Diceros bicornis minor: one gene and its partner. The protein of the gene in region 1 interacts with the protein of each later gene in a biochemical or structural test. Links are inferred from orthologs where the notes say so. Each region holds a gene or a part of one and is shown on either strand. Other genes may lie near its edges.

The links. The genes of interacting proteins can lie anywhere in the genome.
Region 2: the proteins of NPPA (region 1) and NPR3 form a complex in vitro, tested with the Homo sapiens proteins (4 studies listed by BioGRID, with this or other methods). The link is inferred for Diceros bicornis minor from reciprocal best matches to the Homo sapiens genes NPPA and NPR3.

What each region holds. Positions count from the first base shown.
Region 1 is NC_080752.1:30,966,099-30,973,032, forward strand, and holds NPPA (natriuretic peptides A), read right to left. Parts: upstream 2,095-6,934; 5' UTR 2,092-2,094; coding exon 1,969-2,091; intron 1,868-1,968; coding exon 1,541-1,867; intron 1,011-1,540; coding exon 999-1,010; downstream 1-998.
Region 2 is NC_080759.1:35,664,331-35,672,375, reverse strand, and holds the start of NPR3 (atrial natriuretic peptide receptor 3), read left to right. Parts: upstream 1-4,486; 5' UTR 4,487-4,492; coding exon 4,493-5,249; intron 5,250-8,045. UniProt on the Homo sapiens protein: Receptor for the natriuretic peptide hormones, binding with similar affinities atrial natriuretic peptide NPPA/ANP, brain natriuretic peptide NPPB/BNP, and C-type natriuretic peptide NPPC/CNP.

The DNA.
Region 1 (6,934 bases):
ATTTTTAGTGTCCTCATTTTAAAAGTTGCTTCTAAAAATAAAAATAAAAACTGTAGCCAAAAGTACTAGCTGTGCAAAAATTGTCTATTGAGTACAAGCTACATTAGATATAACCAGAAAAAAAAAAAGATGTCTGTAAGTTTTCTTTTTAATAAATAAGTGCCTTGAATGTGAGCAAATCTGAATAAAAATAAGTGCCCTTTTGGTCTCCTGGGGCTTTTTCAGGATCTGTGATGAAGCTGGAGCGAGAGTCAGAGCAGGCAGAGAACTGCAGTGTGAGCCCCACCCCATCCCACCCCCGCAAAAAAAGGAGGAAAGAATGAGAGGAGGAAGAATCTGTCCAAGCCCACAGAATGTACAGCACCAAGAGTGAACCCCTATGTGAGGTATGGACTTTGGGTGATGACGATGTGTCAATGCAGGTTCATAGACTGTAACAAATGTGCCATCTAGTGGGGATGTTGATAGTGGGGGAGGTTGGGCATGTGTTGGGGGCAGGGAGTATATGAGAAATCTATGTACTTTCTGCTTAATTTTGCTATGAACCTAAAGCTTCTCCAAAAAATAAATTTTATTGTTTTTAAGAAGGAGGAAGAAAGAAACTGAACATTCTTCTCTGGGACAAAAGGTAAAATGAAAATCATGCTGAATTCTCTTTCCCGGGAAGCGAAACAAATCACTCCAACCCGAGCCTTCGGCTTCTGTCCGTGGTGCTGAAGTTTATTCATTTCTCAAATGGCTTCCAGTTAACGGGTGAGGGTCTGCCCTAAAATTTAATGCATAGGGTGGGAGAAGTGGGGAAGCCACAATTAAGCCACTTTACCTACATTTAGCATAAAATGTGAGAAATGTGGACAGAAGGCTGCAGCTTGAATAGGGTGCTCGTCACAACTCAGCTTGAGGGCAATGAGATGAGACAAAGTTGAGTGAGAGACCCCGGGGGATGAGGGTCTCTCGCAGTCTGCCCGGGGCCTGGCCCGCCTTGTCCTCCCTGGCCGTTATCTTCGGTACTACAAAGAGAACACAGACATGTTTGACTTGGTGACCTGGCTCTACTGGAAACATCAACTTCGTAGGACTGTGGTCACTTCCCATAGACCCCACTCCAGCCTGAAAACTCCCTGAGTTTCATGAACTGGTACACAAGTTGCTCATTAGGAGCTCAAAGGTCATCCCTGGTCAATTTCAATCCTTTGGGATCTGACAAATTTGGAATCTGGAGAGGAACATGAACTGCCAATCAGCAGTGCGAAGGCAACTTGCCCCATGAACATTTAAAGTGCCCAGTGCTCGTGGCATAACTTTTTTTCTTAGCATTTCCTCAGCAGCCTGTAGCTGAGGATGATGTCATTGTCCCAAGATTCATGGGGCACCCACCAAGTTGGCGCAGAAATTTCAAAGGGAGTAAGCTTCTATGCTGGTCCCTTCCGGCAGAAGGCGTCCCCTGGTGGTATACTTTGACAAGGTTTGAGCCTCAACAAAACCACAACTTCCTAACTTCCTTCCTCCCCATCCCATTTCCATCCCCGGCTCCTCTTACCCGGAAGCTGTTGCAGCCCAGTCCACTCTGGGCTCCAATCCTGTCCATCCTGCCCCCGAAGCAGCTGGACCTCCGCAGGCTCCGAGGGGCAGCGAGCAGTGCCCTCAGCTTGCTTTTCAGGAGGGCAGATCTATCAGAGGAGTCCCAGGGGCCCCGCCCGAGGGCACCCCCATCTCTCTGGGCTGGGTTGACCTCCCCGGTCCAGGGAGGCACCTCAGCAAGGGGGCTGAGAGCAGCCCCACCTTCCTCACTCTGCTCACTTAGTACTTGTGGGGGCATGACCTCATCTTCTAAGGGCATCTTGTCCTCCAAACGGTCCAGCAAATTCTTTACAAAAGGAAAACACAGGGAAAGGGAGAGGTCTCACCCACGGGCACAATGTCACAGAGCCCCCTGGTCCCAGAGTGTGCCCTCTTTCCCAGCCCTACCTTGAAATCCATCAGGTCTGCGTTGGACACAGAGCCATACACGGGGTTAGCTCTGGTTTGCCCCGGGAGCTGAAATGCCAGGAAGAGAAGGAAGCTTGTGGTGATGGTGGGGAAGGAGCCCATGCTGGTCACAGAGTGGTCTGGTGCTCGCCGCCTCTTCCCTCTCCTCCCTGGTTTCCCTCTCTCGGCCTTCGTCCGTCTCTGTCTCCCAGCTGCCCTGCGCCTCCTCTTTTTATAGGCCCCCGGCTCTCCGAGAACGCAAGAGGGATGGAACCCTCCCCATTCTGTCACTTGCAGCGATAAAGCAGCTGAGTGAGGAGCCAGCAGAAGATGCCCTTTTAAAGTTATCAGTCCAGCGGAGCTTGTCACAGCCCCTCCGCCTTGAGCAGCCCCAACAACCCCCGGGACCCTCGGCTGCAAGAGCCACATTCTTGTTGATTTGCCTCAAGAGGTTCCCACTTCAAAGGTGTGAGAAGAGCAAAAAAGAGTCCTTGGTTATCTCACAGCGATGCCTCGGGCTCCTTTCTCCTCGGCAACGGGACTCATGCCGGGAAGCAGAGGGTGACAGTTGGCGGGCACCCAGCTCCCCCGGTTGGTTTGTGGCTCAGCTGTCAGGGCCTCCAAATAAGGGCGGGAGAAGAGGAAATGGCAGGCAGCCGGCAGCTCGGGACAAATTAGTCCAGATGCTCTAGCCGGCCTCACACCTGACTCATCAGCGGCGAGGGCAGCCCTCTCGCTCCACCAGGGCTGGCCTTCTGGCAGTCACTCTCCGCAGTCAGGTGAAGAGGGCGTTATGTTTTAGAGTACTAAGTCAGCCGGGAACCAAATGTGATGAATGACCCAGGAATTTGGCTCCCAAATTTCAACACCAAGGAAAGTTTTGGGAACACAATCATTCCTCTGCAAAGCTCCTCCTCCTTCGACCCCTCCACGACCCCCCTCCAAGGTGCTGAGGGAGGTAGACACTGAGAGGATGCAGCATTTTCGTTTCTTCAACTTGCTGCTTATAGAAACTCAGACTCTTTGAGTATGAAGCTTGTAATTCCCCTGCCCTTTCCTGGAAAGCTCCCATGGCCAGTTGGCTGATGGAGTGAGGTGGGAGGCGAATGTAACACAGTTTCCCTTAACGCCTCCATTTTCCTGGCCCCCAAAAGAGAAATAACAGGCAGTGAGGCCACATTTAATGAGTGGCCTCCATTCGCTAAGCACATACTCAACCCTAGCATGCTACTCAACAGAGCGTATGCTGGGGGAAAACACTAAATTTGAAGGGATGAGAGACCTGCATTGTAGCCCAAAACAAACCAAGCTGCATATGTCTTTGGGCCTTATTTTCCTCATCTGTAAAATGAGGAAAGTGAAAAAACCTAAGGTTATCCTGAGGCTCAGAAGTAATGTGTGGATGCATTTTGAAGTGTGAAGTGCTGTGTAACTGCGAGATGGTAATCGCGCTTGCCTGTATTGGTCAGCTGTGACGTGCCAGACACTGAGCTGAGAGCTTCATGTGGTTACTTCATTTTTGTCACCACCCCCAGGAGCTGGTGGTCTTGTTGCCATTTACAGAGGGACAGGACTGAGACTGAGAGCTTTGTCACTTACCCAAGGTCACTCAGCTCATAAGCGGCAGAACCAGGACTTGCACCCAGGTATGACACCAATACACACAGTCCTCACCCATTTCACAGACACTGCTGCTGCGTAGCGCGATGGTCTCTTAACAAGCCCTCTGGCAGTCCCTGATTGAACACACCCCCATTCCCAGTCTCTCAGGGTGACTCTGAGCAGCTCCTTCTCCTGCCCCCTGCCTCGGGGCTGCAACTTCGTGTACTTGGCAGGTCTGTGTGCGTGTGGAACATCCATCTCCGCCCCTGCCAGACCCCTCCCTAGCTGAGCTGACTCCCTGGCTGATCAGGTGGAAAGGCTGTTATACGGCAAGAGGGCAGGAAACCAGGGCAGAACGTGGCCAGAGGTCACAAGAGGTGTCCAGGGCAATTTTATTCTAAGAAGGAGAAAGAAGCCCTCTTCAGTCACTGATTTGGGTCAGCCAAACTCAACTTGAAATCCAAGGTGGGTGCAATTCTGGGTAGCGCTCCCGGGGCAAAAAACCATCGTATCCTGACGAATCCCTGGAATGTGCTCACAGCTTAATTGCTCGGTTGGCAGGGTTATTATTAGCAAAGAGGATTCAGTGAGCAGCCACGCTGCGGGGAACCGATGCTCCTTGCTGCTTGCGTCACACAGCCTGTCTCCTGGAGATGCCCTTTGAGACTGGCCTTTGATGCAGGCGAAGACTTCCAGAAGGGTATCGTGGCGGGTGGCCCCTGCCTTGGCTTGGCCTCTGAGGGCCGATGCTGCTCCTCTGTCCTGAGCTACTTCTGAAGTCTGTAGGTGGCCTGAGGAGAAGCGGAAGTCCCGCCCCAGGTTCCAGAAAGGGACTTTCAGAATTTGCCCACCTCCTTTTATTAAAGTCACTTTTCCTCTTCTAGAGTGAAACCGGAGTGGGCCGTGAGTGTCATTTGTTGAGTTTCTTCTATTAGCTGGGGTTTTTTTCGTTTTCCGTTTTTTGTTTTGCAGAAGGGCGGTGACAAGAAAAAAGAACATTCAGGTTTGCTGCTGAGGACTTTGTGAAGAACCAGCACCACCTCCTGCACTAACTGGACCCAGTGAAAACACAGACAACCCCCAAATACACTTGTTACCCCAAATCCCAGTAAAGCCTTTGATTTGAGCCTGAAATGGAAAATGGCTTGATGTAAAGTTTCTCTTCATTTCCAAGCCCCTGCTCAACTTTGGGGTGTGTGTGTGGAGGAGTTAATATTTAAAGGGGTGTTTAGAAGCCAGCCTGTAGGAGTGAGAGAGAAGAAAAGCAAAAGACGCAGGAAGCCAGATCCGCCCCCACCCCCACCTCTCCCACCAGATGAAAAACCAAAAGCCTTTCTTTCCGTATCGCTGGGAAGAAGTCATCTTAGTCGTGTGATGGAATGAGCGTTGCAGATGGGTGGATGAATCCAGAACTGGGGTGTCTCCAGTTTCTAGCCCACTTTGGTTTCACAACCCTCCATGGGGATGCTGGGGGCTGCTTTGGGGAACCACAAGGTCCCAGCAATGTTGCACATGTGCAGAACTGGTGTGAAAAGCTCACCATGTTCATGGCACAATCTGTCACACCCAGATGGTCTAAAGCAGAAGCCCCAGTTGGGAGAAACTGGTAGGACACTGGTGTGTACTTAGGGACTGTTGTTTCTGACTTTGAAAATGATGTTGTGTTTCTTTGGTACAATATGGAGATCACTGGACTGGAAGTCAGGGGCTGGTTCCCTAGAAAAAAAGCCTGAGGAAAAGTCAAGTTGCTAAAGCTTTATGGGGGCTCCAGTTCAAGGGAAGCAAGAGTGATGGAAAAAGGAAGTGAGATAGTGTATTAGTTAACTATTGCTGCATAACAAGTTGCCCCAAACCTCAGCAACTTAAAACAACACACATCTATTATCTAGTAGTTTCTGTGACCAGGAATCTGGCCCTGCTTGGCCGGGTGCCCCTTGCTCAGGGCTCTCAGAGGCTGCCATTCAGGTGTTGTCTGGGGCTGCGGTCATCTCAAGGCTTAGCTGGGGGATCTGCTTTCAAGCTCACTCCTGTGTCCGTTGACAAGCCTTGGGTCCTCGCTGACTGTTGGCTGGAGATGTCAGTTCCTTTCCACAAGGGCCTCTCCATAGAGATGCAACTGACTTCCTTTAGGTAGAGAGAGAGAGAGAGATTATGTAAACCACAGTCTCTTTGGAGCCTCATCTTGGAAGTGGTATCCCCTCATTTTTGTTGTACTGTGTTCATTAGAAGTGAGTCACTGGATCCAGCCCACACCCAGAGGGTGGAGATTACCCAAGGGCATGAATACCAGGAGATGGGGATTATCAGGGGCCATCTGAGAGGCTGCCCACCACAGGTGGGGAAAGAGGAGAGCTGATACAAAGTGATACGTTACCAAGCCGGCCACAGCTTTGCAAAAACACCTTAGTGGTTGGTTGGTCACGCTGCACATCTCCAGAGAGCTTCCTGGAACCTGGCACCCTGGAACAGCCTGTGAGGAGAGAAAAAGATGAGGGAACTGCCTTAGATCTCTAGGGATGCTGTAACAAAGTACCACAAACTGGAGGGCTTAAAACAACAGAGATGTATCGTTTCACAGTTCTGGAGGCTGGAAGTCTGAAATCAAGGTGTCACAAGGCCATGCTCCCTCTGAAATCTGTGAGGGAGAATCCTCGCTTGCCTCCTCCAGCTTCCGGTAGCCGCCGGCGGTCCTTGGCATCCCCCGACTGGCAGAGGCATCACTCCAACCTCTGCCTCTGTCGTCACCTGGCTGTCTTTCCACTCTGTGTTTCTTTCTCCTCTTCTTATAAGGACACCAGTCATATTGGATTAGGGGCTAACTCTACTCCGGGATGACCTCATCTTAAATAATCACATCTATAATGACCCTGTTTCCAAATAAGGTCACATTCTGAGGCTCTGGATGTTTAGGACTTCAACACGTCTTTTAGGGGAACATAACTGAACTTGTAACAAGCGCTGCATCTGTAGGCTCCTTTTCACCGCTTGTCTCTCACTAGTCAAAGCGTCGCTTTCACCCTCACCCCACTCCTACCAGGGCCGTGAGCTCCCCTGCACTTCTGGGCTGTGCTACCCAGTTCCTTCAGGCAGTGGCCGAGGAAACTGGAGACTGCTGTCCAGTGCACCCATGAAACCCGTGCATTGGCTTCGCAATCTCTCCTGGCCAGTCGATCCTGCTTGGCGAGGGGAGGGGGAGAGTCAGGGGTGGGGGGTGGTATATGGAGGTGGAGACGGGGCCAGATAGCAGCCATGAGAACCAGGTCAGCCATTGTTAAGGCCGCATTTTCCAGGAAGCCAGAGGTGCAGGCCAAGCAGGTATGAGGCACCCCAGCATACCCCAGCACCTAGCACAGAGCTGGCACAT
Region 2 (8,045 bases), on another chromosome or scaffold:
AATGTTCTTAAATCATGTGTAATATTCTTTCATCTTTTCTGCCTCTAGGGGGAAGTGTGTTTTCAACAATTCTGTCCCCAGAAGGTATTTTCTTTGTGGGCTACAGACTTCACAGGGGTATTCTTCAACGTGACTTCAGCGCTGGCTTAACAAGGGACAAGAGATTCTCTTTGAAAATCTGGAAGGGCTCTTACTTTAGAGGCTGCTGCCAGGATTCTGAGGGAGAAGGTCATACGGACCACGACAATTGCTGGAGAAAACTTCTGATAGCATTTCTAACACATTTCAAAGAATCACATGCTGAGGTGCCCTATATATTGCCATCTTTCCTGGTGGCAGAGGAATAACATATAGACACCGGTTTCATTCCACAATTGGAAAACAAACCGTTGAATACTTGATAGAAAACTTGCCACCTTATTTTAGCAACTTGAAGTTAAAAAAAATACGATTTGTGGGTAGCGATGAAAATATTTCTAAATGCTATAAAAAGTCTATTAGTTTCATCACATTTAGGGCTAACATTACCCTTCTTTTGGCTATTTTTATTTTATTTTACAACATTTCCCTGTAGCTTTCTTTTGTTTTCATTCAGCAATTGTAGTCAGAAAGAATGCACTCAGTGAAAAGGTTAGCAATCTTTTGAAAACATTCAAAAGTGCCCCCCCTTTTTTCCATTTCAGTGTTTTATAGAATCGAAAGGAACAATATTTAAAATTGAATCTAAGGCATGTTATTTCCATTTGTTTCCTTTTTTTCTTCTTTCTCCCTTTGATTCATCTTTATGATTATAACGCTGCAAAAATTCTATTATAATCTATTAGTAATTTTCTTACTGTGCTGCATATCCTCAAAACAGCTTCATATAAAATAAAATCTTGATACAATGAATCTTATCTCTTAATGAAAATTAGCTTTGTTCCCAGCCCTCTTTTACATGGTATAATAGGCGGTACATGCTTTATTTCTAATCCAATTCCACTTAAAAATATTCTCAGGAGATGAAGAGGTATTTAAATACGCCATTTATAACCTTTGGCCTAGATTCTTCACGTAGAAAATGAAGGGTGTCAGGTTGGGTGACTTCTAAGATAATTTCTAGTCCTAAGTTTGGAGAACTCCATGATATTCATAATATTTACACAAACTTTCAACTTCTTGGGAAAAATCTAATTTGACGGGAAGCAAACTCATAACACTAAAATCTATATACTTATATTACTTGGTGGGTCTTCCTAGAATCTTGTGCTTATTTTCATTTGAAAAACAAAAAATAAAACTTAATTTCTATAAAATAAATGTCATGGGGATAATGTACAGCATGGTAACTATAGTTAATAATACTGTATTGCATATTTGAAAATTGCTGAGAGTAGATCTTAAAAGTTGTCATCACAGGAAAAAAAATTTTGTAACTGTAAGGTAACAGATATTAGACTTATTGTGGTGATCATTTCGCAATATATACAAATATACAATCATTATGTTGTATACCTGAAACTAATATAAGGTTATACATCAGTTTCGTACCTCAATTAAAAAAATCCTAATTTCTGCTCATTGGAAAAATTTAAGGTGAGCTTTGAGCATCTGCAAAAGCCTGTAACACTGGCTTTTCTGGTTCTGCTGTCTAGTTTGGGGGTTCTTCCCTTCCACAGCTTGGTTCGTCGGTGCTCTTGAGTGACAAGCTGGAAGCTGAGAGCTCTGGTCCAAAGGCCACCGAGAGGCTGCGATACTTACTGACACGTAAACGCTCTGCCCTGCCGGTGACCCTCGGCGCGGCTGGGCAGCGCCTGGAAGGGGAGAGGCATTCATGCCTGGTGCCACTGAAACCTCAGACTCTCCGAATAAGCCCACGCTACGCAGTGTGCAGAATCATATCGCCATTGGCCGGTGTTCCCCAGACACAGGGCATAGCGAGTAGTAATAGGAGACCCTGGTTCCTTCACGTCTCCTGGCAACTAGTTTTGAAATCCATTAAGACCCTTGGAAGTCGAGATTTAGCTGTTCTTTCCTTCTCCTTCCTTCCTTCCTTCCTTCCTTCCTTCCTTCCTTCCTTCCTTCCTTCCTTCCTTCCTTCCCTCCCTCCTTCCTTCCTTCTTCCTCCCTCCCTCCCTTCCTTCCTTCCTCTCCTCTTCCCTCCCTTCCTTCATTCCTCCCAGGAATTTAGGGAGGATTTAATTGCTATGAAGCTCTGTCTCAAATTCCAGTGTGTGCAGATTACCCTCTCTGTGGAATTAAATTTTATACAGATGCCTCTTTTGCTACTGATTAGCAGCTCTAAATTAAATAAATGAAAGTTCTCACAGGAGTTAGACTGTCCTACCTGAAGATTCAGGGATCGCATTGCATAATCTGAAATCTAAATGACCCAGACGATGAAACGTTACCCATAATTACATTAACCGTGCCAGAAAGAGCGATAAGGAGGGTGCCGTTAACGGCGACCAACGCTGATGCCTGAAGTTGCCACATCTCTGGAAACTCCAATTTGCCTTTTCACCGTCACAAATGAGAGGGATTGCTCTTTGAGGCCTCGGCTTAAAAAAACACGAAAACAAAAACAAAACCCACAAACGCAGCGCCTGGGGAGGTGGCATCAGGGATACAAGTCGGCTGCAAGTTTCTGCCGAAAGAGGGCGTTGGTCTAAGACTAACAGAAATTTGCGGACAGGGACGCCCAGTCAAATGAAAGACCTTTTAAAAACATTTTCAATTTATTTTAATTTGCGGGACTTAAGTGTCAGAATTCTCCCGTCCAATATACCACGTTCACACTGCAAATGACCTCGGTGTGTTACCACGTTCAGAGGGTCAAGTTCCATTTGGACCTGCCCTGAAGCGCGCGGACTCCAGCGAGGCTCCTCTGGCCACGAACATCCCCACGGCCGTTTCCATCCTTGTCTCCACTGCTGTTGTGGCTGTGACCAGAGGCAGGACGGGGTCTCGGACGCAGGACCTTTCTCGGCACTGCAGAACCCCGAGCATAGCGTCTCGCGCGCCCGCGAGGAGAAGCAGTTGGATTTCCAAGCGCCGGGGTTGCAGCGGAGCGTGCGCCTGCATCCAGGGGACCCTTGGGCTAACCATTTAGGGAGAAAGTCTCTTTATTTAGTTACCTGGTTTAGCAAGCAAAGCCCAGAGGACGGCTTGGAGATGCTTTTCAAGCTTTTTGCCACCTCCAGAAGCCGAACCGTTCGCTCGCCTTTGGGAGCAACAAGTTTCGCTTTTCTGCTTGCAATGCGCCGGCGGAATGTCTGTGCGCGGGGACTCTGGAGTCCCCGCAACGCTGGGACTCCAGCGCGAACCCACTCGGCCCGGGGGGAGGACGCCGGCGCGGGACTGAGGAGGGCGGGAGAAGGAGGGGTGCCAGTAAAGCCTCGGCAAACTGGGCGTTCCAGGTCCGTGGTCTAGCCGTCTGCCTGGGACCTTGGTCCCTGTTCCTTGACCTTGCGCCAGGGGACCGAGGAAGGTCGGGTGCCTGCCCAGAGATGGCGCGTCCGGAGGGAATGTGGCCAGAGGGAGAAAGAGGTGAGAGAGAGTAGGACCTACGGATTTTTGCAAAGAAACTACCAATTTCTAGGACCACCTCCTGTCTCTAATCCTGTTGGTTTTTTTGCACGGTGTGTGTGTGCCTGAGCGCGTTTCTTTACTTTCAAACATTTCCTTTTTTAAAGCACGGAACTGGAGAGAGGGCTGCCGCGTGCGGGGCCGGGGAGAGGCGAGGACCCCGGAGGCGGTGGGGTGCGGTGGGGGCTCCCGGCCGTGCCGAAGTGGGCGACTGCGGCTTTAAGGAAAAGGCCGAGGTCTGGCAGGGAGAGGGGGTTAGGGACAGGGGAGGGGTGGGACCGGTAGGAGTGCGGGGAGGAGCCCTGATGTAAGAATGTTAATGAGAGGCTCCCCCAGCCCAGCCCCCACCACTCCCCACCCCCACCCACCCTACCCGCTGGAAATACAACCCCGGCCTCGGCGCGCCATGTGTGGTAACACGCTCAGCCGCTGCCACGCTATTTAAACGCGGGCTATGGATCCAGGAACCGGCACGAATCAATGAGATCAAACGCGAGGGAGATGCACCGTCAATTACAAGCACTTGGACAAGTCTAACTTTTTTTTCTTTTACAAATATGCTTTCAAAAGCAATCTTTGCAACGCCCAAATAGGAAGCCACCTCTAAGCAAAATAGTATATATATAAGGAGGGCGAATATATATATTTATAATAAGTATATATATATATAAATATATTACAGGCGTACAGGTTTACACCCGGTGAACTTTTTCTTCTTTTTCTTTTTTTTTTTAAACGAGTGAGATTGCAAAGAAGGACTCTTCCTCTCTATCTTTTGGCAAGTTAGTGAAGGGGGTGTTCTATTTTCTTAGAGCGCCCAAAGGGGCGCAGGGACCTGGGAGAGAAGAGTGGGGAGGAAAGAAGAAGGGTGGGTCGGGGGCAGAGGGCGAGCCGGCAGCCAGGGCAGGCGCTTTCCTGCGGCACGATGCCGTCCCTGCTGGTGCTCACTTTCTCCGCGTGCGTCCTGCTCAGCTGGGCGTTGCTGGCCGGCGGCACGGGTGGCGGTGGCGGCGGGGGCGCGGGCCCGGGCGGCGGGCGCCGGGAGAGAGAGGTACTGACGCCGCAGAAGATCGAGGTGCTGGTGCTGTTGCCCCAGGACGATTCGTACCTGTTCTCCCTGGCCCGGGTGCGGCCGGCCATCGAATACGCGCTGCGCAGCGTGGAGGGCAACGGGACCGGGTGGCGGCTTCTGCCACCTGGCACGCGCTTCCAGGTGGCCTACGAAGATTCAGCCTGCGGCAACCGCGCGCTCTTCAGCCTGGTGGACCGCGTGGCGGCGGCGCGGGGCGCCAAGCCGGACCTTATCCTGGGGCCGGTGTGCGAGTACGCCGCGGCTCCCGTGGCCCGGCTTGCATCGCACTGGGACTTGCCCATGCTGTCGGCCGGGGCACTGGCCGCCGGCTTCCAGCACAAGGACACTGAATACTCACACCTCACGCGCGTGGCGCCCGCGTACGACAAGATGGGCGAGATGATGCTTGCCTTGTTTCGCCATCACCAGTGGAGCCGTGCCGCGCTGGTCTACAGCGACGACAAGCTGGAGCGGAACTGCTACTTCACCATCGAAGGGGTCCACGAGGTCTTCCAGGAGGAGGGCTTGCACACGTCCGCCTACAATTTCGATGAGACCAAAGACCTGGACCTGGACGACATCGTGCGCTACATCCAGGCCAGTGAGCGAGGTGAGCAGAAGCGTGCTCCTGTCCCCCGGCCCTAACCCAGCCGCTCTCCGGGGCTTTCCCTACACACTGCAGACCCCACTACCCTCTGCGACACTGAAGACCTGGGGAGGGGGCGCACTGGGACTCGCCCGGGTGCGCGCTGCCTGGCTGCGACGACCTTTGACCACCACCCCCTGCGGTCGCGGGGTGTACGTAGAGGGTCCTAGGGAGGTGGTGGAGCCTGGGGGAGGGGCATCTGAGCCCGCAGCTCCCGTGTGCCCGGGTCTGACAGGTGCCATCAAACTGCCTGAGTTTTTTCTTCCTCGCTTTCCCTTCACCGGCGCCGGTCTGGCGATTAGGGACGCACTCCCGGTGCCCTGCTCCAACCAGGGTCTGAAAGCGTGCGGAGGCCGAAAGAACTTGTTACCCAGTCTTTTTCCGACGTGCGGTCCCTCCTAGGGCCGAAGCGTGCGCGGACACCCTACAGCCCGCGCGCCGCCACTTGGCTAGCCGGGGTATCCGGGTTTCCCGGCTGCTCCTTCCACAGATCCCAGATTCTTTTAAACGCTCATTGTATCGCCCTTCTTATTCCTTCCATGGCCCCTCCAGCCCCTTATAAATGAGCTTCTGTGGTTTGCACCAAAAATGCCTCGCTGTGTCTGGACTCAGGCGACACTGACTTCCTCCAGCGCGTTTGGCGTCGCGGTCTCTAAAGCGCCCGGAGCCAGGCTTTGCAAAAGCGCGCGCTGGAGAAGCAGGCGCTGAACCTCCTTTCCACGTGACCCCAAGTTTTCTCCGCGGGTCTGTGGGGGTTTGAATAACCACCAAACTGGACAAAGAGTTCAAGGATGAGGATGGTGGCTATGGCTACAGGGAGCGGGAGGAGAAGCGGGTGGTCGCGGATATGTAATCGCAGAAGCTCCCAGTGCAGCCCATTTTACTGTGGAGTGGACTACCGGAAGGCGGGCTGAGATCCCAGCATCGCGCAGTTCCCGCCTTCCGGGCGTCAGGTTTGGGGTGCACAACACTCGGGGAATCTCGCCTCTGCTTCCCCTTGGCGCGCACGCGCCTGGATTGTCGCTGGTGCAATCCCGGCACAGCTCCCCCCGACCCCACGCGGGGAGACCCGAGGGGAGAGGGGCCGAGCCACGACTTGGCACAGCCGGCACCTGGGCGCTGGCGGTGGGAGACAGCGCAACCGGAGGCTGGCTGCCACTGGAACAGGTGAGAGTGGGCTGAGGCGTCGTGGAGGATGGCGCTGCGGCCGTCCCTCTTCCCAATTTGGCCACCTCGGACTCGCAGTGAACGCACTCTTTACAGCGAGAAGGCAGAAGGTGTTGACAGTGGGGATGCATGGCCAAGTTTTAAGCGTTCGAACTCCAGGCTGTCTGCGCCGAATCCCTGCCAGCCGAGCAGGCGGGGCGCCGGCTTTGCTGATTATGAAAAAGGGCACTTGTATCCCACGGCTGCGGACTCGCCACGCCCGGCCGAGAAACCCACATCTACTTCTCTCCCCCGTCGCAGTTCCCAGGTTACTGCAGACCTTGGGCTGCTCTGTTCCCCTAGAACCCGATTCTTCAGTTCTCGGCTGTGGGGGCCTGGAGCTAGGAGTCGGTGACTTCCCTGGAGGGGCTGGCGATGGGGGTGTGTCCCCCTGCGGGCGAGATCCGCGGTCTGCCAACGCGTCTGTGCTGCCCCTGCGGTGAAGGTCTGGATGCCGGCCGTGACCCCTGCACACGTGGCCTGGGATTCACTGTTAGCCCAGATGAGGGCAGATCTCGGCCACCGACGGTGTGGCTGAGGTCAGGGGCTAGGGAAGGCGTCAGTGCTCTGGTGGGCCGGGGGACTTCAGAAAGCTTGGGCCACAGTCGGCTGCTGCTCATAGTTTATTAGTTCCAAAAGCCTCGTAGATTTCCCAAGTCTCTTTGCTTTTTTTTTTTTTCTTATAAGTTTGAATTTAGTGGTGAAAATTTGCTTGGCTGACTTGTATGTTTTACAGGTGATAAGGTTACTGTTCTTACTCTAAAATATATTTCCAACAATGACTTGGCAGATGTTCAGAGATATATAAAATATAAAATAGTTTCTCCCCTAAGCCCGCTGCCCCCGAAATTCCCTACTCTCTGGAGAGAAAGTTGCTTGATAACAAAGCTCTTCGAGCATCTTTCACCTTTTATTAATCATCATTACTTCACTATAAGCAATTAATGGGTTAAACAGGGGTTCAGTACAGGGGTTCAGTGGAGTTGGACTTCCAGAGTGCCTGTCCTGGCTCAGGCATTTATTGGTGAGGAAGCTTGGGCTGTTACTTAACCTCTCAGGCTCAGGCTAGCTCAGGCTTCTCAGGTGAAGTGGGAGTAGTCCCAGCACTCCCATCTTGGGGATGCTGGGAGGATTAAATGAGCTAAACACACGGAATGTGCTGAAACAATGCCAGATGCATACTGAGTGCTCAGTAAGTGTGAGGTCTTATTACAGTTGTTATTATTTTATATATATGATGATAATCACGGTTACCAGAAGGTGAGGGCATGCCCTGGCGCAAGACTCCTGGGGTGATAAGCAGATGTTCTGGATTTGGGGTCTCCACTCAGCTGCTGCATGGCCTGTGCAAGTCACTTACCTTCTCTGAGGCTGAATTTCCTCCTCTGTCAAACAGTGAGGTGGATGACAATCAGGCCTCTTCAGAGTAAGTTAGGTGGTTCTGATTTGTGCTCACTCAAGTGTAAAAATGTAACTGACCCTGTTTTTGTCTTTGAAAATTGCATATTAAACATCACAGAACTAGAGAGATTTTCCCCCCCTTTTGGAGATTAC